Linked DNA regions of Arabidopsis thaliana. The protein of the gene in region 1 purifies or fractionates together with the protein of each later gene. This does not show direct contact. Each region holds a gene or a part of one and is shown on either strand. Other genes may lie near its edges. The genes, in order: CLC2 and AT1G47380.

Evidence for each region.
Region 2: the proteins of CLC2 (region 1) and AT1G47380 purify together in Arabidopsis thaliana (affinity purification with western blotting, with the first as the bait; one study listed by BioGRID). This does not show direct contact.

What each region holds. Positions count from the first base shown.
Region 1 is NC_003071.7:16,717,330-16,734,137, forward strand, and holds CLC2 (Clathrin light chain protein), read left to right. Parts: upstream 1-9,094; 5' UTR 9,095-9,234; coding exon 9,235-9,521; intron 9,522-9,869; coding exon 9,870-10,023; intron 10,024-10,336; coding exon 10,337-10,672; 3' UTR 10,673-10,878; downstream 10,879-16,808. Other genes in the region: NRPD1B (nuclear RNA polymerase D1B), read left to right, coding at 1-1,362, 1,451-1,626, 1,739-1,814, 1,927-2,057, 2,251-2,405, 2,709-2,983, 3,125-3,298, 3,392-3,532 and 3 more; AT2G40050 (Cysteine/Histidine-rich C1 domain family protein), read right to left, coding at 6,590-8,419; AT2G40070 (flocculation FLO11-like protein), read right to left, coding at 11,049-11,312, 11,392-12,528, 12,836-12,950, 13,426-13,540, 13,639-13,831.
Region 2 is NC_003070.9:17,367,678-17,384,485, reverse strand, and holds AT1G47380 (Protein phosphatase 2C family protein), read left to right. Parts: upstream 1-8,394; 5' UTR 8,395-8,616; intron 8,617-9,094; 5' UTR 9,095-9,180; coding exon 9,181-9,378; intron 9,379-9,456; coding exon 9,457-9,628; intron 9,629-9,761; coding exon 9,762-9,915; intron 9,916-10,004; coding exon 10,005-10,068; intron 10,069-10,337; coding exon 10,338-10,445; intron 10,446-10,564; coding exon 10,565-10,690; intron 10,691-10,781; coding exon 10,782-11,017; intron 11,018-11,135; coding exon 11,136-11,338; intron 11,339-11,456; coding exon 11,457-11,482; 3' UTR 11,483-12,115; downstream 12,116-16,808. Other genes in the region: AT1G47395 (uncharacterized protein), read right to left, coding at 1,217-1,369; AT1G47390 (F-box and associated interaction domains-containing protein), read right to left, coding at 3,830-4,942; AT1G47389 (uncharacterized protein), read right to left, coding at 5,112-5,834; AT1G47370 (Toll-Interleukin-Resistance (TIR) domain family protein), read left to right, coding at 15,783-16,009, 16,224-16,469.

The DNA.
Region 1 (16,808 bases):
GATGGGGATGTTGTGTTTATCAACAGACCCCCGACAACACATAAACATTCTCTTCAAGCGCTTCGGGTGTATGTTCATGAAGACAACACCGTGAAGATTAACCCTCTGATGTGTAGCCCCCTCAGTGCTGATTTTGATGGTGATTGTGTCCATTTGTTCTACCCTCAGTCTCTTAGTGCTAAGGCAGAGGTTATGGAGCTCTTCTCTGTGGAGAAGCAACTGCTTAGCTCACATACTGGACAGCTGATTTTGCAGATGGGTAGTGATTCTTTACTGTCTTTGAGGGTAATGCTGGAGCGGGTATTTCTGGACAAGGCAACTGCTCAACAGTTAGCTATGTATGGCTCTCTGTCCCTGCCACCACCAGCACTAAGGAAGTCCAGTAAATCTGGCCCAGCTTGGACAGTTTTCCAGATTCTACAGCTTGCCTTTCCAGAACGTCTGAGTTGCAAAGGAGACAGATTCCTGGTTGATGGAAGTGATTTGCTGAAGTTTGATTTCGGGGTTGACGCGATGGGGTCCATCATCAATGAAATTGTAACTTCAATCTTCCTGGAGAAGGGTCCAAAGGAGACACTTGGATTCTTTGATTCGCTGCAGCCTCTATTGATGGAAAGTCTGTTTGCTGAGGGATTTAGTCTAAGTTTGGAAGACTTATCCATGTCTAGGGCAGACATGGATGTAATTCACAACCTAATAATCCGAGAGATTTCACCTATGGTGTCTCGCTTGAGATTATCATATAGAGATGAATTGCAGCTAGAGAACAGCATCCACAAAGTGAAGGAAGTGGCTGCTAACTTTATGCTGAAGTCATATTCCATTCGGAACTTGATTGATATCAAGAGTAACTCAGCAATCACCAAGCTGGTGCAGCAGACAGGCTTCTTGGGTCTTCAGCTTTCTGACAAGAAGAAGTTTTACACGAAGACTCTGGTAGAGGACATGGCTATCTTTTGTAAGAGAAAGTATGGCAGGATTTCTTCATCTGGTGATTTTGGAATAGTGAAGGGCTGCTTCTTTCATGGGCTGGATCCGTATGAAGAGATGGCTCATTCAATTGCAGCTAGGGAGGTAATTGTTCGCTCTTCAAGGGGATTAGCTGAGCCTGGAACCCTCTTTAAGAACCTGATGGCTGTTCTTCGGGATATCGTGATTACAAACGATGGAACTGTAAGAAACACCTGTAGTAACTCAGTCATCCAGTTCAAATATGGAGTTGATTCTGAACGTGGACATCAAGGTCTGTTTGAAGCTGGAGAACCTGTTGGAGTATTGGCAGCTACTGCCATGTCAAATCCTGCATATAAGGCAGTGCTTGATTCCTCTCCAAATAGTAATTCATCATGGGAGCTAATGAAGGTATAGCAATATCAAATCTGCCTTCTGAATACAGCTTTGTTCATCTGTATTGTTGTGTAATTGTTTTCTGTATTTGTTCTTTTCCCAGGAAGTTCTGCTCTGCAAAGTCAATTTCCAAAACACTACTAATGATCGGCGCGTAATCCTTTATTTAAACGAATGCCATTGTGGAAAAAGGTTTTGCCAGGAAAATGCTGCTTGCACAGTCAGGAACAAGCTGAATAAAGTTAGTCTTAAAGATACTGCAGTGGAATTCCTAGTCGAGTAAGAATTGGGTTTTAGTAACTTCAGTCGCTCTTTTTAGTGTTTGTGTTATTTTTTTTTTATGGTTTTACTAAACCTCTTTGCAATCTGCTTTCTCTTTACTTGCATGAAGATATAGAAAGCAACCAACTATATCAGAAATTTTTGGAATTGATTCATGCCTACATGGCCATATTCATCTTAATAAGGTTTGAATCTGGTTCCTTTACTGTTGAATCTTTCTGGAAGCCTCTACCTGTCATAGAAACACTTTCCTATTATCCTTTTCTTGCTGTGTAATTGGTGTTTTTGGTTTACTAGACATTGCTGCAAGATTGGAACATCAGTATGCAGGATATACATCAAAAGTGTGAGGATGTAATTAACTCACTAGGACAAAAGAAAAAGAAGAAAGCTACTGATGATTTCAAGAGAACAAGTTTGTCTGTCAGGTTTGTACAATGATTTGCTTTTCCTCTGGATGTCGTCTCTGGTTGAATGTTATGCATAATTTGTCCAGAAAGCAAGTCTGATGTTGATTTCTAGTTTTCCAGTTATCTTCTTTCCATCATTTTTGTTCTTCATAGCATAATGTCTAGCTTTGGTTTCTACCTGATTATGATTGATTTATTCTCCAATGAACAGTGAGTGCTGCTCTTTCCGAGATCCTTGTGGGAGCAAAGGTTCGGATATGCCTTGTTTGACGTTCTCCTACAATGCCACCGATCCCGATCTAGAACGAACTCTTGATGTTCTTTGCAATACAGTTTACCCAGTTCTGCTGGAAATAGTGATCAAAGGTATTTGAATAAAACTTTTCATTTTTGTATATTTCGCTTGTTTCCCTACACTTCGATTTCTTCTTTGATGGGGGAGCAGTGTATCTGATAGAGTCTTCCTTTCAAAATTTTGTAGTTACATGGCTTACGAAATTTTGTTTTTTGCCAGAAGTTTAATGAACCAAAATATTTTCTCAACTAGTCTGATTGAATTTTCCTCCAAGTTGTGATCGATATTCTGTGCTACTATAAAAGAAAGCCTATGTTTTAGTAAGATTTCTAGATACATGTTTTTGATGATACTCCTGTATCTAAACTGAGCAGGTGATTCACGGATTTGCTCAGCAAATATAATCTGGAATAGTTCAGACATGACAACGTGGATCCGGAATCGTCATGCATCCCGCCGAGGGGAATGGGTTTTGGATGTCACTGTTGAAAAATCTGCTGTCAAGCAAAGTGGTGATGCATGGAGGGTTGTGATAGACTCATGTCTTTCAGTGCTTCATCTAATAGACACAAAACGGTCAATCCCTTATTCTGTAAAACAAGTGCAAGAATTGCTTGGGTTATCCTGTGCTTTTGAGCAAGCAGTACAGGTACTTACTAACTTAAAACGTGATCCGTTCCTGGATCTTACACTTAAGTCATGATACTTCTTACATATTTCATGTTTGGTATCACATTTGCTCATTGTTTGTGTAAGGATTTTAAACGTAAGATGTTGATTTGATTTGCAGCGTCTATCAGCTTCAGTGAGAATGGTCTCCAAGGGAGTTTTGAAAGAACACATCATTCTCCTAGCAAACAACATGACTTGTTCAGGGACTATGTTGGGTTTCAATTCTGGAGGTTACAAAGCTTTGACCCGATCCTTAAACATCAAGGCTCCATTCACAGAAGCAACTCTGATTGTTAGTAGTTCAATCCTTTAGTCTAATACAAATTATTTTCTTAGACTATATACTGGCCGTCATGTTAACAGGAATTACTTTTTGTGCCTTTAGGCACCAAGAAAATGTTTTGAGAAAGCGGCTGAGAAATGTCATACAGATTCACTATCAACAGTCGTTGGGTCTTGTTCTTGGGGAAAACGCGTGGATGTTGGTACAGGCTCACAGTTTGAGCTCCTATGGAACCAAAAAGAGGTAGACATTCTCACTGGAAATCATACCAATTGACTGAGGTTTTCTCATATAAGTTTGTTATGTAATTTTATGTCATTTGTTGTCAACCTATTTGCAGACTGGTCTAGATGATAAAGAAGAAACAGATGTGTACAGCTTCCTTCAAATGGTCATATCCACGACAAACGCAGATGCATTTGTTTCTTCCCCTGGTTTTGATGTTACAGAGGAAGAAATGGCTGAATGGGCTGAATCGCCCGAGCGAGACTCTGCTCTTGGAGAGCCCAAGTTTGAGGACAGTGCCGACTTCCAAAATTTACATGACGAAGGCAAGCCATCAGGAGCCAACTGGGAGAAAAGCTCTTCGTGGGACAATGGTTGCAGTGGTGGTTCAGAGTGGGGAGTCTCAAAAAGTACAGGTGGTGAGGCAAACCCGGAGTCTAATTGGGAAAAGACTACAAATGTTGAGAAGGAAGATGCTTGGTCTAGTTGGAACACTAGAAAAGATGCTCAAGAATCTTCCAAGTCAGATTCAGGGGGTGCTTGGGGTATAAAGACAAAGGATGCTGATGCAGATACAACACCAAACTGGGAAACAAGTCCAGCTCCGAAGGATTCCATTGTCCCAGAAAATAATGAGCCGACTTCTGACGTTTGGGGACACAAATCTGTTTCAGACAAATCGTGGGACAAAAAGAACTGGGGAACTGAATCAGCTCCTGCTGCATGGGGTTCTACAGATGCTGCTGTTTGGGGTTCTAGTGATAAAAAGAACTCGGAAACAGAATCAGATGCTGCTGCTTGGGGTTCCAGGGACAAAAATAATTCTGACGTTGGGTCAGGTGCTGGTGTTTTAGGTCCCTGGAACAAGAAGAGCTCGGAAACTGAGTCAAATGGTGCTACTTGGGGTTCTAGTGACAAAACCAAATCAGGTGCTGCTGCATGGAATTCTTGGGACAAAAAGAACATAGAAACTGACTCAGAACCTGCTGCTTGGGGTTCTCAGGGAAAAAAGAATTCTGAAACTGAGTCAGGTCCTGCTGCTTGGGGTGCTTGGGACAAAAAGAAATCGGAAACTGAACCAGGTCCTGCTGGTTGGGGTATGGGGGACAAAAAGAATTCTGAAACTGAATTAGGCCCTGCTGCTATGGGTAATTGGGACAAAAAGAAATCGGATACGAAATCAGGTCCAGCTGCTTGGGGATCTACAGATGCTGCTGCTTGGGGTTCTAGTGACAAAAACAACTCGGAAACTGAATCAGATGCTGCTGCTTGGGGTTCTAGGAACAAAAAGACTTCTGAAATTGAATCAGGTGCTGGCGCTTGGGGTTCGTGGGGACAGCCAAGTCCCACTGCAGAAGACAAGGATACCAATGAGGATGATAGAAATCCGTGGGTTTCCTTGAAGGAGACCAAAAGTAGAGAGAAGGATGATAAAGAGAGAAGCCAGTGGGGAAATCCAGCCAAGAAATTTCCATCTAGTGGTGGCTGGTCCAATGGTGGTGGTGCAGACTGGAAAGGAAATAGGAACCATACTCCTAGGCCACCTAGATCTGAGGATAATTTGGCTCCCATGTTTACAGCAACGAGACAGCGCTTGGACTCATTCACCTCTGAGGAGCAAGAGCTGCTCTCAGATGTTGAGCCAGTCATGAGGACTCTCAGGAAAATTATGCATCCGTCTGCGTATGCCTTTCTAGTTCTTACGCTCTGTTTATACAATTTCCAGTTCTATGTATAATTAATTATGCTGTTTCACATGCCATATACTTGTTATGCTTCATCTATCTAAAACTATCTTCTTTCGATGAAGGTACCCTGATGGAGACCCAATTTCTGATGATGACAAGACGTTTGTCCTGGAGAAGATTTTGAACTTCCATCCCCAAAAAGAGACAAAGCTTGGTTCTGGCGTTGACTTCATCACGGTAAACAACATTTCTCCTTAACAAACTTAGCTTCTCTTCTAAAGCTTACTTAGCCTTATGCCTGATGTGAAATTCTTGGTTGAACAACGATGTAGGTTGATAAGCACACCATCTTCTCAGACAGCAGGTGCTTCTTTGTTGTCTCAACTGATGGGGCCAAACAGGACTTTTCATACCGAAAATCCCTCAACAACTATTTGATGAAGAAATACCCTGACCGTGCTGAAGAATTCATTGACAAGTACTTTACGAAACCTCGGCCTAGCGGAAACAGAGACAGGAACAACCAAGATGCCACACCACCTGGGGAAGAACAGTCTCAGCCTCCGAATCAGTCTATAGGTAATGGAGGTGACGACTTTCAGACACAGACTCAGTCTCAGTCTCCATCTCAGACTCGGGCTCAGTCTCCATCTCAGGCTCAGGCTCAGTCTCCATCTCAGACGCAGTCTCAGTCTCAGTCTCAGTCTCAGTCTCAGTCTCAGTCTCAGTCTCAGTCTCAGTCTCAGTCTCAGTCTCAGTCTCAGTCTCAGTCTCAGTCTCAGTCTCCATCCCAGACTCAGACTCAGTCTCCGTCTCAGACTCAGGCTCAGGCTCAGTCTCCATCATCTCAGTCTCCGTCCCAGACGCAGACATAAACTCTTGAGAACCAAAGAAGATTTGGTTCGTTTAGGTAAACCATTCAGTCTCCACTGTTTTGTTTTGATGTACATAAAGAGTGGAGAGAATGGCGGTTTTTATCATTAAAAGACTCTGATGTGAAGTGCAAAACAATGTGTAAATGCAGTTCTCTAGTTTCAGATCGTTTGTCCTAAAATCAGGTTTAGGGTTTCAGTGACCGGTTTAGTTATAAAGTCTAGCGGCATTGTAGTGATGTTTTGACATTGACTATTTATCGAGCAATGCATTTGCCATCTCATTTGCTTCTTGTTTGAAACCTTCGAGAGACGAAAATGATTGCCTTTCTAATCGCATAAGCACATGGTTAGAAATTATATCTTGTGTTGACCGATGCAGCTCCTCCGGCAGAAAATCATCTAATTCAAAGAGCTCTTGTGTAATTGCACGAATTGAGAAATCAGTTTAGTTTTATGAAATTGAAATCAATAATAGAGAAATTACATTTTATTCAGATGCATGGATACATTGTTTAAATACATTCATATGAACATTCAACACGGTAGCCTACATCATATATTTTCCCTATACAACGGTTCTTGCAAGAACCACATAATGGTCGAGAAATATTACATTTGGGAAGAACTTGAACCCTGCATACCCATTTATTGAAATATTGACCGGGCTTGATATATGGGTCTCCACCAATTAAGCATTCAATATGAAAAGTGGTGCAACACTCGTTGCACCAGTAGAATACTTTTGTGCATGTATCCTTTAAACTACGTTCACATATTTCACACCATTCTTGCTCACGTACTTCTTCACCAAATGAAATTGTGAGGAAGTGTGTGTCATGCTTATATTTTATTTTGTATGGTAAGGTAACACACTTAAAACATACAATGAAATTGCATTTGATGCAATTTAATTGTTTTAAACATTCTGTTTTGCATATATGACATATGGGTTTTATTTCTGGGTTTAAAGCTAGGAACAAGGGATCTTCATGACCTTTGTAATCAAACGGCTCAGAAATTAAAGCGCACCTTACATCAAGCTTGAAAAAGTTGCATACCTCCATCCTACAGTGATAGGCAAAGCCAATAGAACCACGATCACAAGCGTTGCAACGGAAGGTATTGTAAGTAAAGCTATTGATAACCTCCAATACAAGTGGGTGAGGATGTAAGGCATGTTGGATTCTACGGGGAGCCTTAGCACATGTTTCATGGAGGATGAAATCACACTCCATACAAACATATAAGTTACCTTCATAGATAGGAATGGCACACGCTTGACAAAGCATGTTTTCATCATAAACGTTGCTGACCTCGAGTCGGAGATGATGATTATGATGAAAATAAAGTATCACTCCTTCAGATATCACCTCGAACGGTCCATCATTTTCTGTTATATCGATTATCTCTGGTATACCTTCGAGTTCTTTTCCATCCCACACATCTTTCCCAAGAGCGCATATTGAATGAACAACATAATCGCTACACGTGTCACAAGTATATGCACCATAATCAACGTTAATACTTAAACGGCAAACTCCACAAAACCATTCTCTAGATGTAAGAGAAAAAGTGAACGAGATACGATGACGGTGACGTGATATCTTGATGATGTGTGGGGAATTCATACAGTCATTATGAGTTACAAAGTTACATCTGAAACAAACGTAGGTGGGATAAATTTTTCTCAACAAACCACAAACATTACAAGTCAAGGAAGTTTGTCTGGGGAAAAAAGTGAGAGGATGGATATGCTTTTTTGGTGGGTCTATAAGAAAAGGTATTGGCTTCATCGCACATATGGGATGCATAAAAGCCTGGCATGTGGTGCAATGATAAATCAACCAATGTGCTTTTCTTCCACAACATAAACACTCAATCTTACGAAAGTTATCATCATGAAAGAAAAGTTGGAGATAGTGCTCAGGGTGGTAAGGATGTTTGATTATAAGTGGAGATTGAATGCATTCTTTGTGTAATTTTATGCTACAATAGTTGCAGAAATAATAGTCGGTGCCGGAATTTGAGCCTTCGCATATGTAGCATCCACCATCAGCATCAAATTCTTTATTGTTGCACCAAAACAAAGGGAGTACATGATGATCATGAGAGGTCGTCGTTGTAGAAAGGACGTACTCGGGGGAAGAATTAAGCGGATAAGTGTCTGAATACGACTTGATTTTTCGACGTCGTGATCGAGGGCATAAGAAAAGAGGTTGAAGGTCACTGGAGGAGGTTACGGTCTGTGTTTGGGGTATGGGGCAATATTTCGGATGATGGTATACCAAAACAAGGTTACCATCCTTTTCCACCTCATAAAATCCTCCGACGCTAGAATCCATGAATGTGTTAAGTCTTTGTTTATTTTTGTTTTAGGCTTTTATAAAAAAATATTTGTCATACAAGATATCAAGTTGTTAACATTTTTCCTCTATAAATACGAAAATTTGATTCCAAAAGTTTTCTTCTACTCTTGATTATTAATATACTTAAACGTGAAAACATATGGTTGATTTTGTTCCTTTTCTCAGTAGTTGTGATGATAATGTTCTTCTTTACATGCAAATAAAGAATCAACTTTTCTTTGCACATAGTTTTGTTCATTTCTGATGTTCCATGACTTCAAGACTCTATATTAATCGTGCTCAATGATTGTGCCAATTCATTAGTAGTGTATAATTTGAGACTTTGTGAACTCAATCACGAAACACACAAAAAGAAAATGAAGGTTTATTCAAAAAAAAAAAAAAAATGAAGGTTTGAAATGGAAAATGAAACAATCGTACCAAAACCAAATTGCAAAACGTTTTAAACAAGAAAAGAAGAACACGTAGTTTCAATGATCCGGTTGAATTAGAAAGTAGAACAACCGAACCCACACTAAATTGCAAAACGTTTTGATTAAGATAAGAAGAACACGTATGGAACATTAATTGTAATCTAATGGATCGGTTGGAACCTAAACCATAACTAAACCGGAATACTCATGATGAATTGGAAGTATTTGGGCTCGAAAAAAGCCCATTAAGAAAAATGGAAATAAAAATAGTCACAAATCTCCGTTATTAATTTTTGCCATAAGCTTGAGAACACTTGAAAAGACAAGATTCGCGAGTTCTTCGTTCTGCCTTTTTTTTTTTTTTTGTGTGTTCGAGAGATGTCTGCCTTTGAAGACGATTCCTTCGTCATACTCAACGATGATGCGTCTGAGTCTGTTCCAGTCTCAGGCTCTTTTGACGCCACTGATTCTTTCTCAGCTTTCGACGGCTCACTCCAAGTCGAGGACTCCGTCGACGATGTTTTTGCAGCGCCGTCTTCTGACTACGGTGCTTACTCCAACGGTGACGGCATCTTCGGATCCAACGGGGATCACGACGGTCCTATCTTGCCACCACCGTCGGAGATGGAATCAGATGAGGGATTTGCTCTTAGAGAATGGAGAAGGTTAGATCTACTCAAAGTTTTGATCTTTGTTGCTTTTTGTTTACTTCTTCCTGAAGAAAATCGATAAAGTGGATAAATTTAGTTGAGAATCTCTTTGATAATCTGAGAATTTCAATTTTGAATTTTGATTCACAATTTTTGTGAATTGAAGTTATCTGCTAGTTAGTGTCCATTGTTCTCAGAAGTAATCAGTTTATTAGATTGGATCTGTTACTTTTGCTTAGAGTTTATTGCTCAAATCGTGTGTTCTAGAATAACATCTTGATCCGTAAGCTTGTAATGCTTGTTGAGTTGATTAAGATGTATAGATCTGATTTCGTGCTATGGCTTTATTATGTTTATGTGTAGACAAAATGCAATTCAACTTGAGGAGAAGGAGAAGAGAGAAAAGGAATTGTTGAAGCAAATTATTGAGGAAGCTGATCAATACAAAGAAGAGTTTCATAAGAAGATTGAAGTAACTTGTGAAAACAACAAAGCAGCTAACAGAGAGAAGGAAAAGGTTTGTTCTTTTGCTAAAAGATTTGAATTTTTTATCATCTTTTCTCAATCTGTGTTGTTGTCATGTGGTTTGTGGAGAATTGTCAATGCAAGTCAATGGCTTGTTGATATTAAAATTTTCAAACTTTGACCATCTTAGTCTTAAGTCAACTGTGATTGATTATCTTAATGCATTGTCAGTTTTGAGATTATCTTAATACATTGATTATCTTCATTACGTGTGTGATCTTTGATACCTTTTTATCTGCATATTGCATTGTTACAGTGTTGATTAAACTTTCACTTATGTGTTTATTTGTCTTTGAACACTTAAGCTGTATCTGGAGAACCAAGAGAAGTTCTACGCGGAATCCAGCAAGAATTACTGGAAGGCAATAGCAGAGCTAGTTCCTAAAGAAGTTCCAACAATAGAGAAAAGGAGAGGAAAAAAAGAGCAACAAGATCCTAAGAAGCCAACAGTCTCTGTGATTCAAGGTCCAAAGCCCGGTAAGCCAACCGATCTAACAAGAATGAGACAAATATTGGTGAAGCTCAAACACAACCCACCTTCTCACCTGAAACTCACTTCTCAACCTCCATCGGAGGAGGCGGCTGCTCCTCCAAAGAATGTTCCCGAAACCAAGCCCACTGAGGCAGTTACTGCTGCTTAAAAACCTCCTTTGTTTTCTTATTCGTTGCTTACATCTGTGTGAATTCAGTCTTTGCATTTCATTATGTGTTATAAACAGCTGAGAGATTTTATGGTTCATGTGTGTTATTAACATAATTATGTCATATTGGAATGATAACTTTTTATGTTTTAGTCAGTTACCATTGAATAGTGGTTAATATCTCAAATCAATCGGTTAAAGGATCCATCCATTTTAGGGTTAAAGTAGAGACGAGAGTGGAGAGGTTTACATAAAACATCAAAACGCTACTTCACATATCATCATTATCAAACTCGTGTGATAATTAAAACTCACAAACAATAAAAGAGAATCTCAAATGTGAACGTTTTACAAAAGGCTTTTCTTCTTTCTTCCTTCATCTCCCTTGTAAGCTTGCAGGGGACCTGCAACCTCTCTCGCTGCCTGCGTCGTCTTCCTTTTCACTTGCCTCTAAGCAAATGCCATTGTTGTTGCAGACACTGATCTCTGAGCTTGCGTTGCTGCTTGTTGCTAGTGGAGAAGAGTCTGAAACATTCATCGGTCTACCACGTGTATGTCCAGACCTCACACTGTACATTGATGATGCTGGAATATTCGTCATTAGTGGTCTCAGGTTCCCTGGAATAGTTCTACGTATATCCTGTTTTCATCAAAACGTTTGATCATCAGTTAAACGCAATTGCCACCACTTGAGGAAGAGAGAAGAGAGAGATACATACCATATGCCTTATTGCCATATCAAGGGACTTCTTGGAGAGCGTTCTTCCAAATCCTGCACTGTCGGGTGATGAAGACTTTGCAGACAAGTTACCATGAGGAGAACCCTTGTCATCTGATCTGGGTGGAGCAAGTTTCCGCATGTTTATTACTCTCTCCACCATTTTTGTTCCCATCATCACCGGACTAACATTGTCACTGGCTTTGGAATATCCACGATTAACCGCAGGAACAGAGCTACCACTAGAGTACATTGGTGCTCTTCCTCTTGATGGTGAACATGATTGCCTTCTTGGTCTTCCTCCTGGAGGGCCCCCTGGCTCAACTGAACCAGAACGAGAGCTTGGAGCTCCAGGTCTGCCTCTTGTCGCTGAAAGTGGCCTTTCGGGTAATGTTGTCCTTAGATTTGGAGGAGTTTCTAATGAGAAACCAGGCATGTCTGACGGCTTCCATGGTCTTGACCTCACTGTAGGAGATGCTGCACGAGATAAAGCAGGGTTCTTAGATGGTGTTGGCATAGGCTTTGCTGGCGCTGGAGAAGAAGGCTTGATTTGGGATATTGTGGGATTTGCTGTAGTAGTTGCAGCACTTGCAGAAGCAATTGGACGGCGAGTTGGTGTAGATGACCTTGATATGGTTTTAGATGGAGGAAGTGTGGGTCTTGAAGTTGGTGTTGAAGATCTGGCAGTAGATCTTGACAGAGGTGTGGTGGACCTTGAAGGACCTGCAGATTTTGTGGTGGTGCTAGGGGTAGATCTAGTTACTGAACCAGCAGATCTAGCAGTTGAGGTAGTCGGCTTAGATGCAGTAGGTGTGAGCCTAGATGATGATAAACTTGTTGACCTACTCATAGGCGTGGGCTTAGTCGTTGCAGATACTGTGGACCTCGAGTTAGTCAAAGAAGGTCGAGTAGCTGAGGAGACAGTGGCTCGCGAAGTGGGTGTTGAAGGCCTTGAGGATTTTGAATTTGCCGTCAGTGTTGATGATCTTCCAGTGGGTGTGGCAGGTCTTGATCCAGGTCCTCCAGATGATGAAGGTCTTCGACTTGCTCCACTGGAAGAGCTCAATCCAGGAGAAGAAGTTTGTTGTCTAGATGTTAGATGGTTCCTTGCAGCAGACTCTGTTGAGGAATTTGCCAGCTACGACAGATAATTCATAGGTTACCATAACGAAGTAGTGAAAATGTGCTACTCTAAAAAAAATCCAGAGCAACATCCCACATAGCAATAACGATAAATGCGATTTACTAGTGTAAATCATGAAACTTGAAATGTAAACGTCACAGACTGATGCGGCAGGTTAAACTAGTAGTGGCGATTCAAAACATATAAACAATAACAGCAGAGCTTTATTTTAATACTGGTTGCACTACATTAGGTTGTTTATCTAGTATCCATTCCAGGAGTTGATAAAAGAGGTCAGAACACTAAGCAATAACATTCTTACTCTGGAAGTCAATGTAGCCGGGCGACTCTTTGAATCACCAGTCTGACTCATCATAGTCCTATGTGATTCCATCTCCAGCGATGGAAATAGAGGCGTACCTGGAGGGGTCAGAAGCCTTCGAAAGACAAGAAGAAGTTAGGGTGGAAATGATAAACAGATAAATGATATATTGTTCAAGAAAGTATATGAATGTCTAAGAAGAGGTAAACAGAGATGCTGGAATGATGAACACCTTATGCAGCAAAATTCTAAACTTGATAAGAATTCAGTGCAAGACTCGCACACCTCACAAACAAAGGGTTCCAAATTGTGACACCAAATTCGAGTCTATTAGATTAAACACATGCCTTATACAGAATGATGTAATGTGAAGAAACAACACAATTTCAAGGAAACAAAACTACCACACATATATTACTTCAGAACCTCATGGTTAAGATACAGCAAATCAGTAACTATACTATCACAAAGAATACTTAAACCGCCTGCACTTAAGGTGGCTAAGAAAATTCAAACCATCACCGGTGAATATGTTACTGAAGTAATGAACCATAGCGTCGCAACATGAAAGTTTGTGATCAAAAAGTTACCATTCATAGTCATTTTTATCGCCTTCAGAATTGAGAAAATCATCAGGAGCAGCCTTCCGAGATGGTGGAGCACCACTTGAGATGTTAAACACCGGCGAAGTTCCATGCTTTGAACCTAAATAGACCAAACCCCATCAATAACTAATCAACCTCCAAGCTCAAATCAGAAACCTGATTCCACAAAATTAGAAAGAAAGAAAACATATTACATACCTAATGGAGTTTCAAACTCATCAGGGTTATTGTTAAGAAGAAGATTATCCTGCTCTTTCTCACGGCGTCTCATCTCAAGAAACAAAGAAAGCTCTTCATCTTTCTCAGCCATCATAGAAGCCCTAAGCTGTTGCCTTTGTCTCTCTGCTGAATCCAGCAATAGAGACTCTTTTGCCCTAAAACTTCGATTCATTGCTCACCAAACTTTACAACAGATCAAAGAGATACACTAACTTAGCTTCCAATTTACTCCCAACGGATAATAATTATCCTATAATCTTTAAAAAGTTAAATAATTGTCCTAAAATTTAAGAACCCCAAAACGAAAAATCGAAACTTTCACAAGCTTAACTTGCAACACATTTTTCAGAAATTTCCCATTTTGAAAGTTAGTATAAAAAAGGGGAAAGTTAGCTTTTTTAATAGAAGGAAGACACGAGCTTTCTTCTCAAAGAAACCGCCATTATCGAGGAACGGAGCTCAAGACCCTAGCCCAACTACAGTTAACGGAGAAAAAAACCCAGAAGCAGAAGAAATAAAAAAAAACTAACAGAGAAAGAGAGAGATTTTGGGAGATCGAGGGAGAGAGATTGAGGAATTGGGAGAGAGAAAAGAGAAAGTGTGAAGACGAGTGGCATTGAGTGTAAATACTGAGCTTTGTGATCGGTTAAATTGGAAACTTTTTCATAAGTTCAAAAGAAAAAAAGTTTATTTTTTGGGTTTGATGAGAAGAAAAATTCAGTGACGGGACATGACATCTGGACTGGTACCTAATGTGTTATCAATTGTTTCTATCGCTTGAAGCCTAAGGATTCTCAATGATTATTCCGATGTTTTTTTGTTTGTATTTTAAGATTATATTGTCAGAGTTTTATATTCTTCAACCATTGAAACACGACTTACTCGAAATTGATCAATGATTCTTGAGTTTATTGTATTGTAATCACGTTTGTTGAACCATATAAAGAAATATTGTTCGGAGTGGTAAGACCTTTGTTTGAATCCTAATTATTAAAGTTGAACACTATATAGACCTAACTAATAAATTTATTTCAATTGGAAATTAGTTTTTTCATACATTATTAGGTCTTAATCTGTCATTAAGTACCTACTGATTAGGTAACATACTAAAATTTCTAGTTTTGGCAATGATTTTAAGCTTAAATATTCTAAGAAAAATATAAATTTTTAAGCTCATTATTGGCAATTGTGTTTTGGGAGGGGTTGACATTTTGAAAAGTTGGTGGATCGGATTGTTGTTGTTCAGTTGGTTAGTAACTCACTTAAAACACTATTGAGTTATGAAGTCTAATGTTTGATCCGAAGATCGGGCCGGGCATTAATCGATATAAGCTAAAAGAAAGGGTGATATATTGTCATAGTTCGAGTGTCTTTTGGTTAAAATTCCGGTTTAGAATGCTCAAACGAAGTACTAACTATTTTGGTATCACTTTGTTAGACAAGTTTGGAGGAAGGAGTGATAGTGCGTGATGTTTGTTGTCACTATATTGCAACATTTCTCAACATTTTTGTTGTAATATACGATAAACTGTGTGGTTGTGTGAAACATCATTTGGATTTCTTGACTAAGGATCGGATTTGCCGTCGTAGATGGAGAGCTAAGTTTGATTAATAGTTTAAAACTTAATATTCCACTAGATTTATATGATTGTGATTAGTGTCGTACACACTGGTCGAGACTTGTAGGGCAAAATCCTAAATTTTAGATGTTGCTAATTTGGAATACACTGCACCTTCATTTGTCTTCCCTAGGCTCAAGCCTACAAGTCAAGAGATTAGCCTCTGTACCTCTATCTCTAGTATGTATACCCGTGTAATCTTCTTCTTGAGGAAAAAAGAAAAAGCTCATATAAGAACTTCTATGAAGAAAAAAGGTTTACATAACTTAATCTGATGAAAGAGACAAAAAAATTCAATGGTCCAGTAAGACAAGATAATATAAAAGGACAGATATTTCTCCTACGATTTATATGGTCAAGGGCATGTACAATGTCATTGTCACCACCATCACATAACTGATGAACACCATCATGTTGAAAACAAAGTGTTTGGAGAAGACAAAGCCAGTAGTTGTCAAAATGGTACAGAGAATTTTGTCATAAATGAAGTATTATGACACGAAAACGTTGAAGATAGATTTGATCATGTGGTGTATTTCCTAAAAAAAGGAATATAAGTTACTTCAAAATCCTTACAATCACACAATCTTTAATATGTCAATTACATCTAATGATATGAAAATGTATCCTCTTCTATATAAAGATTAAAGAGTAAACAATATAAATGAAAATGTATCCTCATGAGTCATGATTCAAGAATAACATCAACCATATCAGTGTTGTAATGTTTCTAATCTAACACATCTTATGTCCACCACAGTCCAAATTAAGCCAAGTGCAAACTGCTTAATGACATCAACTCCAACAAGCAGTCGATTCTTGCGAGCCCGACAAACCCCATCAGGCCCAAGTAGTTGTTTTCTTTCAATTGTTTAGTTTGATATTAATGTGACCTCTGTTTTTTTATCCTTTTCGACCATCAATTATTTTTCCTGCTTAGACAAAGTAAGTTTGTAATGGTTTTGAATCGTTTTTGTATGAAATATTTTTTCTCACGAAGAACAAAATTCTTAATGCTCAACAGAAAAATCAAATTCAAATGTTACAAAGTATCGTACATAATTTCCTTATATATACCATATTACACACACAAAGAGAGCAAGAATTTGCTATTTTATGATGACTGAGAATATAAGGTACAAGAAGTTTACAAGAAAAAGTAGTGAAATCATAAATTTACTCAGTCACAGCAGAGCTAATCACTTTAAACCTCTTCATATGCCATTTTAATCCCAAAAAAAACTTATAGGTTTGATAGTTCATGTTTTGATATGAAATTGGCCATTTGTCCCCTTTCAAATAACTATGCTTCTTTTTAGTCCTTTTTGTGCAAAAGCTCTTTCGTCTTCTTAAGATCTTTGCTTTCTAGTGGTATATGAATGCCGAAATAGTTTGCCTGGGTTTTAGATCATGATCTCATGTATCAACATTTATTTTACTGCAGTTTCTGTTTGCTTTTTGATGGAAATGAATATTGTCACAACGTAGAAATTTTCTATGCTAGAGTTCTCTAATACACAGCCTAGTGAA
Region 2 (16,808 bases), on another chromosome or scaffold:
TTTGTTTTTAATACCAAGAGGTTCTGGGCTGAAAACTGTAATCCCTTCAGGCCAACAATCACAACATGTAATATTAGGTTCGTCTCAAGCGTAACAGGAACCAACGACCTCTAAACTACATACCATTTGTAGAAAGATATTTAGGGTTTTATAAATTGTAAAACTATATATGATTTACGTACATGTAACATATTCTATGAAACCAATCCATATAATATGTATCACTTGCACTACAGTACTAACAAAACCATGAAAAAAATATTGGTCTGATTTCTTTGTGCCATAATTTAGCCACGTTTTTTTCATGATTTGGCCATAAATTAAAAAATGAGAAATATATAACTATGTTGTGACTAGTTATCCATGAAAATAATCCATGGCTAGTTATCACTAACTGGCAATGGATTTATAGACAAAAAACAATTTGCCACGAAGTAGCCGCATATGTTTCATTTGTCCCTTGAGGGTTAGTTAAAACAATTGTATCTATTTTGAGGCCCTTATTACAGTCCAAAGGAGATATATATTTGCGTAAAACAATTATACTGACACCATATAAATTTTCTCCGAGAATATGCTAGCTTGATAAATAAATATTTGCGCAGTCATCCAAAACACCAAAATATTTATCTACATGTCTTGATTTTGTGGAGTAACAGTGTCGAGGTGTTTCTTATGGTATTTATCTACATGTATACAAACACCTAATTATTACAAACTAGTTTGGGTCTGCCGCTCTGGATGGATAAATAGATACGATGAGCTAATAACGATTAATGTACAAATTCATTAACCAAAGAAGATTAAAACAAAAATTAGAGAAATTGATGAACTAATGAAATACATGTATGGCTCCCCTTTGGTATACTTTCAAATTGTAAAATTTTCACATCTTGAATGATGAACCAGTTGGTTCAAACTTTAGATCCGGATTTCTTCGAGTGAAATTTTTAATCTTGGGTGAATGAAGAAAGTGAATACTAACCACTTAAAAATTAGTAAAAGTGAATGTTACACTGATAACTTTCAAAATTAAGAGACAAAAAAAAGTGATTGTGGTTAAGGACTAAGACACTAGGAAACCATGTTTGCTCATTGACAAGAAAACTCGAGACACAATCTAGTACATAAATGGTCTAACTAATATCTAAATTATCTTATCATCTCTCTCTCTCTCTTTTTTTCTTCTAAATTACATTATACTAATAGGAGACAATCACGCAGCAGGAGCATAATCATAGCCACTGTCATCGTCATCACCACCATTCTCAACACATGTCGCTCGAGAGCTATCCACCACATCTTCAACATACACCACGGAAGCACGGTCAAAACTCTTGATGACCAAGTTAGCAACGTAAGACATCATTTTTTTTTTCTGTTATGAAGAGGCCTGAAGAAAGATTCACCGAGTGAAGAAGTGTGATGAGGTTTTAGTGTTGATATGAGTTTGGTGAATATAATAAGAGAGACTGATGAGGCTTTTATAGGTGGAAGTTAAAGGTAAAGCAAGTGTTGAACGCACTCTGTGGTCAGGGATGCCTCTATGGAGTTTGCGAATTGCTCATGTTGATGTGTGTTTGGCACAATAGATATTACATTTTTTCTCACACGTAGGATTTGGTAATGACACATCAGACGTTAAGTTAACTCATCGGTCCATTTATATTCCTTTTTAGTAACACATGTAAAGCATTTTCCTTTCTCACTTATATTCTTCCCCGAGCAAAACAAAGAAAATGAAAAAGAAAGTTTTTGAGCTTTAATATAAGATTCTAGTGGCAACATTGGTCACTTCTAATTAAAAATTGCGGAATGACTTCAAACTTTAATCTCAAAAACATCTTCCCTATATCTAAATAGCTTTTAGGTTGCCCATCAATCACTTTTTGTACCAAACCTTCCCATCTTTCTCTCTTGTGTTGATTGGGAAGATGCGTGGTGTTGATAGCCTTTGTTCTCATAGTTGTTGTTGAATTGCTTCAGTTGGAATTATCTACACTATCGCTGCTATAGAAGAGGATGTTGTTTCTATAGAAGAGTATTATTTTTCGTTGAAAATCAACATAACAGTCTTTTTAGTACTAAATGTATATATTGTCTGTATGTGGGTTGGATTTTTGGCTTCCTAATCCGAGATTTGGGGTTAAGCTAGCCAAGTCAACAATGTAGAAACCAAACGACAGCGCTTCGTTTGCCCTTTTTTTTAACAAAATAATGTCCGGCTCAAAGTCAAGATGAAGAACGAGATAGTGGATCAAGTTTGCTATAAATTAGGAAATTGTAAAAAGAAAAGAAAAAACGCAAAAAAAATGAGCAACAACTTGCACCATCAGGTCTTACAACGTTAATTTAGGCTGTGAACGGTAACCAAAACCGCACTCAAAACTACATCGCAACAATGCTGTAACAGTATCAAAATCTCTACATATACATATGTATCTATGTATTTTCGTTACTATTTGAACCATACCGCAAAACGCAGTCACCATTCGGAGCTTTAGGGTCCGAATGGTAACCGCGGTTTTTGTTGTGCGGAAAAAGCGTTATTATAGTGCGGTACGGTTCAACTGCGGTATGTGCGGGAGAAATATATTTGCGGGACAAGTGCGGTTTGTACAAAATAAACGGTACAAAATAATGTTTGATTGGTGAAAAAAACTACTTGCGGTGCGGATTATAGATTATATATATATATATTAATATATATTAATAATTATAAATCCGAATATATTAGATTTTTTTAGTAATTCATATACATTTAAATATATTTGAGATAAAAGTAACCAATGTTATAGTTTTCTTTTTAGGTAAATTTAGTATTTTGGTTATTGGTATATATGAGTAAAAAATCTGAACCGACCCAAACCCGAAAATATTTTGAGTATTTTTGGTTACTTTTGCATTTATACTAAAATAACCGAACCGATCCGAACTCGAATCGAAACCGAACCAAATTTTTAGAATACCCGAATGGTTCTTAACATCATACCTGAATAGAGCCGATACCCAAAAGAAAAAAAAAAACTAAATGGGTACAGATACCCGAATGTCCACGCCTTAAAAATATGATATAAAAAAGATAAAAAATATGTATTTAGATACAAAAATTATACATATACATATATTTTTAATAGCTAAAGAAAAAGAAATGAATATCATTCATCGCGTATTTTACTTGTACCACATGGTAATAAGATGTTTCAGTTATAAAAGGGGGTCCATGTACTTTTACGCTGTATATGAAAAACGCAGTATACATTTTAAGAAAAATATAAAAAACGCAAATTTGTAATGATAAATGATGATTGGTGTTCTAAGTGCGGTTCTCAAAATTCTTTCGTGAATTCCGCAAATTATATGTTACCATTCACACCCTTAGTGTTTTGTTCCCTATTTATAGATGAGATACTGGGGAACAACTTTTCACCTGATTGTAAGTTAATATATAGCATGTTTCTTCAATATGAATTATAATAATTCATGTTGAACCCATACATTTTCTCAAATTAATTGGCAAACATATAATAACATGTAGAACAGAACATATAAGAACAGAACAAAAAAAACATGTAGAACAAGAAAACGCTTTTATTGCTATATCGCAGTAGCTAACAAATGCTTCCAAAGAAAATAATTTGGGATAGAACTCAGCATCGTTAGATGTAAACTGAGTCCGTAAACATTCAATCTAGTTTGCTATAAAAGTTCGAAAATAAATTATTATGCCAAGAAAAAAAAAAGGAAAACAAAAAGGAAAACTAGAAAACAGAATATAGTTGTAAATAAATAACATACCAAAACCACAAAAGAAGCCAGACTAATGAAATCAAACTTGTAATGCTGCTTTTTTAGTTTGACTTCGAGGTATTGAGACCAAACTGGGGAAAAAGCTACAATGCAAAGGCCAGGGACCAACCACAGAATCTATTTGAATTTTACTGATCAACTTATTGTCCCCCACAACATAGATCCAAGCTTGGCCAGTTTGGTCGCAAGAACACACAACGAGCTTTTTATCGTCGATGAAGTAACTTGGGTGTACTAAAACCGGCAAGTTAAGAGTTGACACTTCCATGAAATTCATCCATTCCGCTGAATCCACATCTCCACTAGAGCAGTTTCTAATCTTGTTCTTGGTCACCCAAATCTCAATCTTCTTTGTTAGATGGCATTGCTTTAACAACGAAAGCCGATCTTCCCTAAAAATCCTAAGAACAAGAACATCGTGATGATGGTTCTCCCCACATGGTAGATCAGAAAACTTGTAGACCTTTTCATTGGAAAAATTGTAGTAAACCAGGACGAACAAGGAATTATTCTTTAGATGAGAGGCAACCCAATACAAAATTCCATTCAGTGATACACTTGCACCGAATAAAGTAACACCACTACTACAACTCATGACCAAATTTGTATATTTCCATGAATTGGAGGCAAAGTCATGGATTTTCCAAACTGATCTAGTAGGGTCTAATTCATTAGGATAAGACACAAGGGTCTTGTAACCACTACTCTCAAGTTTCATGTTATCATACTCATAACCTATGCCATTGAAACACAAACTAGGTTGGTTTACCTTTGGCTTTATCCATTTAGCCTGTCTTAACCACGGGTTCCAAACCACGATGCCTTCTTTTTCCATGCCACATAGCAAGAACCCATTGCAATCAATCAAAATTTTAGGTTTAAGTTCTAAACCGGGAATATCCAAACTTAACTCACGCACTTCTATCTTTGGAGTCATGCTTACCGAGTAGAACTTAGATTCGGTTGCTAAGATGAATCGAAATGTCATCTTGTGGTTGTTAATGAACATCTTATCGTCGAAGAGGGCGTTCCATTTCTTAGAAACGGTTCTGAAGCGAACAAGAGATTCAGGAGGGACACGAGAGAGTATCTCTTCAATCAGTTCACACGGAAGCTTCTCCTCAGGAGCCATTATCTCTTCTTTTTTTTTTTTTTTCCGACTCTTTTTATATATATACAAAAGTTTTCGTAATTAGGGTTTCAACTGAATGTTAGTAAAATATATCTCCCAAAGATTTGAGATCTTTCGAAACGGAATTTTTTTGGATTCACTTTTTTTTTTTTCCTTCTAAAAACTTTTATTAGACAATTAGTATTACAATAGCAAGTACAAAGCCAATACAAAACTTCAGAAACCAACTTATTACAAAAGCAAAATTATGTGCCAGAAGATGACGAAACTGAAAAAGTGAATTTAACGATGCTTCCTTTCGATAAGTCTTACTCGATAACATGTTGTTAAACATGTTATGTTCCTCTTTCATTAGCCATCTTACTCGAATGTGATATGTATGCCATATTGGCATTCTTTGTTTGAAACTCCACATCACATACACAAAGCTCGTTGCTCCTGGAGAAAGTTTTGAGAAACCGACAACTCGATACCAATTAGTCCGTATCGGTGTCATAGTGCCCATTAGAAAATTTGGCTTGATACCGAAGTAATCCCATCCATTCATACATCTCAAACCAAAGACGTTGTTAGAGATCTTCACGGCAAATGTCTCCGAAGTGATTCCGGGGTTCCACATGCGTCGAAGGGCGCAAATTTGCATTAAAACGATGTTGGCAACTATTGCTGCCAGACTGAGAAGACCGGGCATACCCGGAAAAACACCGTGAATGAACCATATTATCATCACACGGACAATAACGCCTTTGGTAAAAAGAACGAAGACCCTAAGAACGAGAATCGAAATGGCGGCATCGGATATCGATGTGAATCCCCAAACTTGAGACAAATTCAACCATGGATTTGTTAACAAAAACATCATCATATCCAGATCGCTCCCAGACAAAACCATCAACGAAAACCCATATCTTACTTTGCCACACGAAGCTATTTTGACTGCAAGAAGGGCAAGCAATATCAATTGGGAATTTGGTTATAATCACAAAATCAATCGTGTCTTTTGATTGAGATTTTATTTTGAATTTTTTTGGATTCACTTTTATTCACACTTTCTTTTTCTACGCAATCAAAATCTACTACAAATATATATATTTAATTGTAAAATATTTTCTCCCACCAAAACAAAGTTATAATATCCTTGTTAACAGAAAAAACAAAGTAATATATTGGTTTTGGATAATAAGGGAGGGTTAGAGTTTATAACAGAGAGTAAGAGTTTATGTTTTATAATTAAACAAGGTTAAATATTAGTTTAAGTTTATGAACGAGTTTAGATTTTATAATTTAATGAGGTAAAATGTTGGATTCAGTTTATAAAAAACGGTTAGGGGTTTAAATTTAATAATAAAACAAGGTTAAATATCGATTTGGTTTTATAAAAGAGGAATATAGTTTAGATTTTGTAGTTAAACGAGATTATATGTCAGTTTGGAGTCATTAAAAATTGTTTAGGATTGAAATTTTTGACAATTAAATGTGATTAAATTATTGTTTTGTTTGGATAAAAGAATGATTAGAGATTAGAAATTAGATTTACAATTAAATTAGTTTTTCTTATAATTAAATTTAAGTGTTTGATTCTGATGGGTAAGAATAAAAAGGGTGAAGAAAATGTTTAGTATAAATATTTATGTATAGTCCTAATTATGAATTTATGTATTTGGGGAGTAAAAACATAAGTTGTAACCTTTAAAGTGTAACAAATATTATTAAGATATCATTAGAAAATTGTAATAGTGTAACGATAGAAATTCACTAAATAAATACACAGGTCATGGGTCATAATTCAGGTTTATAAAGATCTACAAAGATTACATACAGTAAAACATCTATAAATTAATAGTCGATAAATAAATAACCTCTATAAATTAATAAATTATTCCGATCTCGAGTTGAGACCAGTGTAAAAAGTGATACAAATCGATACATTAATAAGATAATAATTTTCCTGAAAATCCTATGTAAATATATGGTCTCATCAATATCATAAATTAATAATTATATAAATGTATCAACTACATATATATATATATATATATATATATATATATATAAGAAATTTCTTTGAAATTATATTTCTAATATTTGTTTGCTTAAATTTGTATTTGTTCTTATTTGAATTTAGTTCTAATATTTTACAGTATCAAAAAATTTTGGTGTTGTTTTCTAAACAGAATAATTATTTTTTACTCTAAGCTACCTAAAGTATTTATAATAAGTAGGGTCTATACAGTGTATAATATTTGAAATGTATAAGAATAAAATTATATATAGTATGGGTACTATTTCAAAATCAAAGTATTAAATTGACCTAAATTATGTGTATTTTAAATAAAAGTATCATTAACAAAAACAACAAAATGATGTTTAAATTCATGAGACGGATATATAGGGTGGGACAGGTTTTGATCTATATTTATTCTTCTTCACTAAACAAAACAAACAACAAATACTTCTAGATTAAAAATTTGAAATTTAATCAAATTATATATAATTTAAATAAATATATTAGTTGAAAGAAAGAAAAAAATGATGTTTAGTTATGACGAGACGAGTTTATATGGCGGGACGAGTTTGGATAAGACGGATTTATATTGCAAGATGAGTTTGGATGGAACATGTTTGGATGAATATTAATATGAGACAATATACTACAAGTGGAATCCTATAATTAACAATCAAATTACAACTATACAATCTTAAACACTATTTTTTGTAATCTTTTAAAAATCAACATTATATCAAAATAAGTGTTAATCTTCTTTGACACATCTAAATGTGTAATTGTAATACAAACTTACTAAATTACAATAATTCTACAAGTTAAATCTATAAACACTGAAAGTTTTAGTTATATATTTTTGATACAAAAATGTGAATATAACATAACAGATTAATATTATTTTGTCTTTTAAGATTTGACCCGTGATACACCAAAAGATAAACTTATTAATATTGTAAACTTATTTCTCACTAAAAATAATAAACAAAATTATCGAGAATCATTAATCAACACAAATAACAACAAACATTATACATAAAAATTCATTTTATAAAAATCAAACATAAATAAAATATTTGACCACGATATATTGCGGATCCTATCCTAATCTCTCTCTATAAACTCCTAATTCTTGTGAGAATTCACAACCCAAATGTGAAATCAATTTATTGTAAAACCATAACATAAAAATAGAATACATTTCAAGATCCAAGTATAAATAGTCTTTTTTTTTTTTGTCGTACTACTACGTATGGGGTGTGTTGAATTTTTGGTGTTGATAATCCGAGATTTGGGGGATGTTAAAAGCCAGGTCGACCACGTGAGAACTGAATACGACAGCGTTTCAATCAGCGCCGAATAAAAACACACATAACGGTGCTTATTGCTGCGAGAACGGCGGAACATTTTTTTTTATATTTTTATTTTTATTACTTAATAAACAAACAATAAAAAAAAACAAATTAAAAAGAGACAGAGAGAAGAAAGAGAACCTCCTCACCTTCCTCCTCTCTTTGCGCGTTTTCTCTCTTCTCTCTCTCCTACGGCTGTTGAAACCAATGGCATTTCTCCACTTCGCCGGAATTTCGATCGGAAGATGAATCGTCTCCTTCGTCTCTCTTCGCTTAATCGTCGATCTTCTTCTGTCGCCGTCTAATTGCAAATCCAAATCGTAAACGCTTCTTCTCTTATTCTTCCTTCCCCCATTGTTATCGTTTCTTCGCTCGATGTGATCATATTCGATTCTTAGAGTTTTATCGCTTCTTTCGATGAGATAATCTGCGTTTCACATTTCCAGATCATTTGATTGCGTTTGTTTTTTGTGTTCATTCCCGATTTTGAACTTTTTATATGTTTTCACTGGATTTATCCGCGAGCGACGGAGAATTCTCGAGGACGCATTCTGATTTTGAATTTGTGTTGCTCAAAGAATTTGAAGATCTAATTCATGTTTTCTTCGACGAGATCGTTTTTTTTTCAGAGTTTTTTTAGTTTGATTCTGCAATGTAGATCGGAATGTTATTGTAATTTCACGAGTATAGATTGGATTTATACATTGAATTTGACTAACTTGGATTTCAAGTTTCAGATTGTTCAAATTTAGAGGTTCTGATTCTTGAATGTTTTTTTTTCTTTTAATTGTGTATCAGGTTTTTTGTATGGTATAGAGATTTGGTGAAGAACTAGACGCAGCTTAGAGGAAGCTTTTATATTTATTGAAGCTTAGGGGGAAACAATGTCAACAAAGGGAGAACATCATACAGTTCCACTTTCTGTGTTGCTTAAACGTGAATCAGCTAATGAAAAGATAGACAATCCTGAACTTATACACGGCCAGCACAACCAAAGCAAGAAAGGAGAGGATTTTACTCTTGTTAAAACAGAGTGTCAACGTGTTATGGGCGATGGTGTTACCACCTTCTCCGTTTTTGGGGTAATTATTTGCCTTCTTTCTCTATTGATTGTGGTCCTATCGATTTTTGTAGTTAAAACATTGAAATGTGTATTGCAGCTTTTTGATGGACACAATGGTTCTGCAGCAGCTATCTACACTAAAGAGAACCTTTTGAATAATGTATTAGCTGCAATACCTTCTGATCTTAACAGAGATGAGTGGGTTGCTGCACTTCCTAGGGCTTTGGTTGCAGGATTTGTGAAAACTGATAAAGATTTCCAGGAAAGAGGTATGAACTTATCAATGAAAAACCTTGTGATGTGATTCAAGTCCCAAGAGGGTGAACTCGTCTGTGTCTTTATATTCTTATATCATTCTGGTGAAGGCTATGTTTGAGGTTTTATTGTTTTCTTGCATTTCAGCAAGGACGTCTGGAACGACTGTAACTTTTGTCATAGTAGAAGGATGGGTGGTGAGTGTTGCATCTGTAGGTGACTCTCGTTGCATACTTGAGCCTGCTGAGGGCGGTGTCTATTATTTGTCTGCTGATCATCGGCTTGAAATAAACGAAGAAGAGTAAGTCAGATTTTTTCCTGCTATTCACCCAACTGATGATAATCTTGATTGTATACAATGGCATCTCAATATTTTGGCTTTCTTTTCAGGCGAGATCGAGTCACTGCAAGTGGTGGTGAAGTTGGTCGGTTAAATACTGGTGGCGGTACTGAGGTACTTCTTTAGATAATTCTTGAAAGTTTCTTCTGTATGCATTAAGTCTCACGTTATCATGCGCTCTTGATACTAGCAATATATAACTAAAAGGTAACTGAGTGCAAACTTCTAGGATGATGTTCCAGAATTGGATGTTTTTGCGAGACTGTATTATACTTAGCTGATGAACTGTCATATTGTGGTAGCTTTGTAGAATGTAACACATAGGGAAATATCTTTGTGCCGTCAAATTGAAGAGTTTTGATAACTAAATCTTATTTTTTTAGATTGGTCCTCTGAGATGTTGGCCTGGTGGTCTGTGTCTCTCAAGATCCATTGGAGATCTGGATGTTGGCGAATACATTGTTCCAGTTCCTTATGTAAAGCAAGTCAAGGTTCAAAACTCATAACTAAATCTAATCTAAATTGATCTTTATGCGCTTATAGCACAAGCTGACATTCTAATTATTGAGTTTTATACTGAAAACTGTATCTATTTATTTTGGTTATGTAGTTGTCTTCAGCTGGTGGTCGACTGATCATCTCAAGTGATGGTGTGTGGGATGCAATATCTGCAGAAGAGGCTCTTGATTGTTGCCGGGGGTTGCCACCTGAATCTTCTGCGGAGCATATCGTTAAAGTATAGTATCTGAATTACTTTATTTTAGATATATTCTCTACATATTCTTTCTTGCCTTTATAGTACCTTGATATTTTATTACTCCATACAGGAAGCTGTGGGTAAAAAAGGTATTCGTGATGATACAACCTGTATTGTTGTTGATATATTGCCACTAGAAAAACCGGCTGCTTCCGTGCCGCCTCCAAAAAAGCAAGGAAAAGGAATGTTAAAGTCCATGTTCAAAAGGAAAACATCTGACTCCTCTTCTAATATCGAGAAAGAGTACGCAGAACCTGATGTAGTTGAAGAACTCTTTGAAGAGGGCTCTGCTATGCTATCAGAGAGGTGTGATTCTCTGAATATATGTGCTTAAGCATATACCATTTTTCATACTTGATAGCTTCATTTCGATCTACTAATCTTAACCAAGTTTTCTTTCGTTTTTTTCTTCTGTTTATTGCAGATTAGACACAAAGTACCCGCTTTGCAATATGTTTAAGTTGTTCATGTGTGCTGTGTGTCAAGTAGAAGTGAAACCTGGAGAAGGTGTCTCGATCCATGCCGGGTCGGATAATTGCCGTAAGCTTCGTCCCTGGGATGGTCCATTCCTTTGTGCAAGTTGCCAAGATAAGAAAGACGCAATGGAAGGGAAAAGATCATCGGGAGGTACACACTATACTTATATATCCTTCTTTATTACCTCCCGTTATTTTGCAAATCGACTAAGAATCTGTCTATAGATTTCTTATGAAAGCTAATTGTAATATATTTTTGGAATGTTCAGATAGACATAGTAGTGAAAGCGACTAGCCAGCAATCTGCAAATTATTGGCAAAGCAACTAACAAAACAGTATTGTGAGTAAATTGGAGCAGTTCAAGGATCTTCGGGTTGTAATTTTTCACCCATAGAGAGATATGAAGTTCCTTGATAAACCACCAACATTCTTACCATTCTCCAGCAGACTCCAAGGAAGTTTATTTATTTTTCTCCCACTTCACGACGTCTTACATCAAACTTGTTTCAAAGTAGAGGTAATTCATAAGTTCTTTTCATTTTTCCTTTTCATTTTTTTTTGTCCATTTGTGATCACTCTGTGCTTTGGTATTTCAAAAATGAGTAGAACTAACTACCAGAGACAGTAGCTTTATTACGTCTGTTGAAATGTTGAGTCGTTTAGGAAGAGAGGGTAAGGAAGATATGCAAGTATGTGTGCAATTATTTCAATGTATAAACCGAAGACAAATTCTTGATAGAAATCAAATCATTTTTCATGTAACTTTAATTATATCTCGTCTTCTACGCTCATAAATTTTATGTGCCTCTCTCTCTTCCAGAGTTATGTCTTCAAAGATAAGAGGACTTATATTGTTTAAGGAACCCTCAGAATTTACATCTCAAAATGTAAGATGGAGATTGTAGTAACGTAGATAAGAAAAGTAAACCTGTCTAGATTTGTTCTTACAATCTAGAAACATGTCGAAAACTGCAAATGTATTGTGTAAGGTTATCCTCAAACGAATGAGATATTGGAAAACAAATGGCATATTCCCCCACAAATTTTATTGTTTTGGAGTATTTATACACATAATTTTTTGGCGTGTGCTTACAACTACATAAACTCACAATAAATTTTAATTTCGTACAAGAATTAAACAATTCCGGCCGAAACCATCAAATCACCAAAGGTTGTTATTGTTCCGCTAATGACTAGGATACCACGTAATGCAGTTTGCGTTTTTAACCATAAATGGCAGTCGTTTTATTACAACAAAATCTTAAAACAACATAAAACTAAAACACAAGATCATACCAAAAGAAATGGATCTGAAACAAAACATCAAACTTGAACAACATACAATAACATTAAAATAATATGATAATTGATCCAAAAATACATCATAATCCGAGTATACAAGCTACATAATCAGATATCACATATAGAAAATTAGAGATGAATAGTTTGCATCTCGTTCATGATCTCATGTAAAGTGGATGCAAAATTTTCTTATTTTTCTCTTCTTTAGTCATCTCATAAAGATTGAAAAATATGAATAATAAGTTTTACACTTTCAACCCAAATGGTAAAATTTGAGATGAATCTATATTTCATTCAATTCTTTTCTACTGAAAATGCAATCATTTTTCCACGTACTTTTCTCTTATCAGACTTGTGCCTATGTGTGTAACACATTGCATCTTGTTGTCCTTAAGAAAGTAAAACCTGGAATAGTTGGTAAAGAAATTTGAATATAGATGAATTGAATGAAAGAGTACTATAGGAAATTTAATCAATATTAATTGCTACTTAACACTCTCTACTTGATGCAAGAAAGTAAATACTTTATAAAAATTGGAAACTTATGCAATTAGTTTTTCCTTCTCTAGATCAACACCTCTATTCCGATTGCTTTGATCCAGAAAGTAAAAAAAAAAATACGGTAGCCATTAAGCATATATTATATAGTTTTAGTTCAAATCAAGAGCATACATAAGCAATTTCCAAACCTTCAGACCTCAAATCAAATCTCACCAAGACTGGTTCCTAACTCATTGCCTATAGCTGGTTCTCGGATAGTGAGGAGTGCTGCATTGTGAGGAAGTAATGTTCATAAAACCGTCTAACATGGGTCAAGCAAAATCCTTTATATAGATCATCTATTGGATTTTTTCCTATAAAACTTCTGACGATCATTACACTGGTTTTGACAGTTGGTAAGGTTATAGACGTACTCTCATCAACCCATGGACATAGCTAGAGTTTTGGTAGCAGATCAGTTTCTTCAAGTGACATACCGTATATATATACTTGATGTAAATTCAGGTGGTTCATCCACAACTAGAGCTTTATGTTTAGGTTCATCTACTACTAGTGCCGGCTTAAGTACAGGGACGGGTAGTGCGACCGTCCTACATCCGAACAATTTTTCTTCTTTTGTATATTTAAAAGGGGTACAACTTTTTTGTATATATAAAAGGGATACAAAAAATATTATATATGCAAAAGGAGTATAAAATATATATTTTAAAAAAATTTGCCCTAAAACACATAATATGTATGAGCCGGCACTGTCTACTACACAAGCTTTCGCGGGACTAGTTATGGCTGAAGGAAAAACATTTTCAGCTTCTTTGGTAAAAAAAATTCACCCGTTCTTTTACGTACAAAGTAATTATTATTAACCACTAAGAAGTAGGAAGTCTTATAATCTGAAACATAGAAATTAGGACTTTAATTTCTCGGTTTGGACTTAGGTTAGCACCGCCCTATTTTAATTTTATTTTTACCACGGCTTTCGTCTCTTTGGTGAGTTTTAATTTTTAAATAGTCTTAAAAACTCTGTCTTTTTATTTGGTGAAGAAAACAAAAAAAATTTCATATTTTGATTCCTTTTATTTTCAGTTAGGGTCTCTTTATTTTCATGGTAGCTAGGTTTGTCTAGTTCTTAATATCTCTGTCTTTGTGTTCGACCAGCAAATAAAACGATCATGATTTCAGATTCCATCCCTAATGAACTCATCCTCGAGATATTGTTGAGAATACAAAGTCAATTGCTAGGTGCGATCGATATATATATTACAAAAAAAACAGTGTTGTTGCAACGATATTTTTGCAATGATTATATTCGTTAAAAATTTGTAACAAATTTTGCTATACTTTTGCAATGATGAGTGAACGTTACAAACTTACAATCGTATTACAAGTCTATTGCAAAATAATGACAAAACAATATTGCAACACGAAATATTTAAACAAATAACATTATTCATTTTCTACGTAAATTAATGTTGGTTTTGTGTAGTTATGTAAATGGTTTAGATAAATATGATAAAATGATAAAAAAAAAAATTATAATGGGAAACAGTGGTGGAATAAGACACATATTAGGTTAATAATAGATAGCTACTTAAAAAATTTATTTTATTTTGAAAGTAAGTGATGGAGTTGTAGATAGTAATAGATAGATAGATAAATTTGGGAAATGAAAAATAAAGATTTAAAATATTTAGACATGTAGTCCCTGTTCATTTGCCTGTCGCTGGCGACTGAAACCAGCGACAGCGACCAAAAGTTGTTCGTTTGCCTGTCGCTGGTTCAACGACCAAAAGTAGCGACCAGCGACCGCAATTTTTGATCGCTGAAATTTTTAGCGATCAGTCGCTGGTTTCAGCGATTAGTCGCTGCTTTTGGTCGCTGAATCCAGCGACATGCAAACGAACAACTTAGCGATCAAAATAAATAAATTAAAGAATAATTAAAAATAATTAAATTAAACAGGATTAAATTAAATTAAACTTAAATAAATGTTTTTTGCACTCTGAACAGTTGTGTCTTTTAATCGCAACTTTCCGTAAAAAATATTGACGGTTGTTTTTTCTCGCTTGTATCTTTTATTGCAATTTGCCTATATTGTAATTTTCTGTCAAAATATAAACAAATTTATAATATTTTCTTTGCAATATCACGAGGGATTTGAGTTCTAGTTTAATTAAAATAATTCTTATTAAATTTGATAAAACTAAAATAAATAAATATATTAATTTATTTTTTCTCATGGTGTATGATATATGATTTACATTTTGATTTTAAAATATAAATTAGCACAAAAAATAATTATTTTTTTTTAAAAATATAGCAACTGTTTATAACGACAGTCAAACGAACAACACTTTGACAGTTATTAGCGATTGTCGCTGTAATTGGTCGCTGAATCCAACGACAAACAAACGAACAATATATGTTGTCGCTGGTTGCTGTCGCTGATCGCTGGTCGCTGTCGCTGAATCCAGCGACAGAGAAACGAACAAGGCTGTATATGATTTTTTTGGCTACGGTACCTTCTTGTATTTATCCACGAGTTATGATATCCATTTTTGAAGCGTTTTTTGTGGACTTTCAAAGCTCTCTAATGAACGTACTTTGACTATTTATAGATTTAATAGCCAATTTATAAAGTCGTCATGTGTTTGTGACGACTTTGTACTTTAGTGATTCTCTTTTTTTATAAATAAGCCAAAGTACGTTCTACTTTTTATCCACAATTCATTAGCCTCTCTACTCTCTTAATCAAGAATCACTAAAGTACAAAGTCGTCCTCAATCTCTTATATATGACGAGCGTGTCTCCTCGGTACAGAAATGTTCCTGTCCCTAAAGTGTTCCTTAGTTTCCGAGGAGAAGAGATTCGTCATGGGTTTATCAGCCACCTCGCTGATGCTTTAGAGAGATATGGGATCATGTTCATCATAGATAAAGACGAGCAACGTGGAAATGACTTGACAAGTCTCCTTTTAAGGATCAAAGAGTCAAAAGTTGCCCTGGTCATCTTCTCTAGCAGGTATAATTATGAGGAACCTATCAATCTCTGATTCCTTCACTTAATTAAAACCGGAAGTAGTTCATAGATGCATCTTTTTCTTGGTTGCTTAATGTTTCAACATTAGCTAGGGTTTAGAGTTATCACAAAATTTTAAAAATGGTTATTGACTTATTGTCCTAGTCATCAATATCTAATAGTATTTGTATGGACTATGTGGCAATTAATCCTTTAGGTTTGCGGAGTCGAGGTTTTGTATGGATGAGATTGTCAAGATGAAGGAATGCGTAGATGAAAGAAAGCTTCTAGTCATTCCTATCTTCTATAAGGTTAGGGCAAGAGATGTGAGCGGCCGCACAGGTGACTTTGGTAAAAAGTTTTGGGCGCTTGCTCAAAAGTCTCGAGGATGTCAAATCAAGGAGTGGATGGAAGCCCTAGAGTGTATTTCTAATAAGATGGGTTTGTCCCTGGGAGACGGAAGGTATTTTCTAATGCTTCTTTTGTTTTCCTATAATTTGTTTTTCAAAAACATGTAATATCTTATATATTTAATTAGTGTATAGAAATAACCCAGTTTCCAATATGCGATATTCTAACATTTTAATAGGTTTCATTGAGATGTGAATGAGAAACGATCCAACATAAACAGTCCAAACTCATTAAAAACCTCCCGATTTCTTTTTAACTAAGGTTTAACAACAATAATATAATAATTAATTCCCACAGAGACGGCCAGATATAATTACTAAGGTAATTTTAGTTAAATTTGTTTAGTTAATTGATTTTTATCGTTTAATTTGGGCTGCTTGTTCTGAAAGCT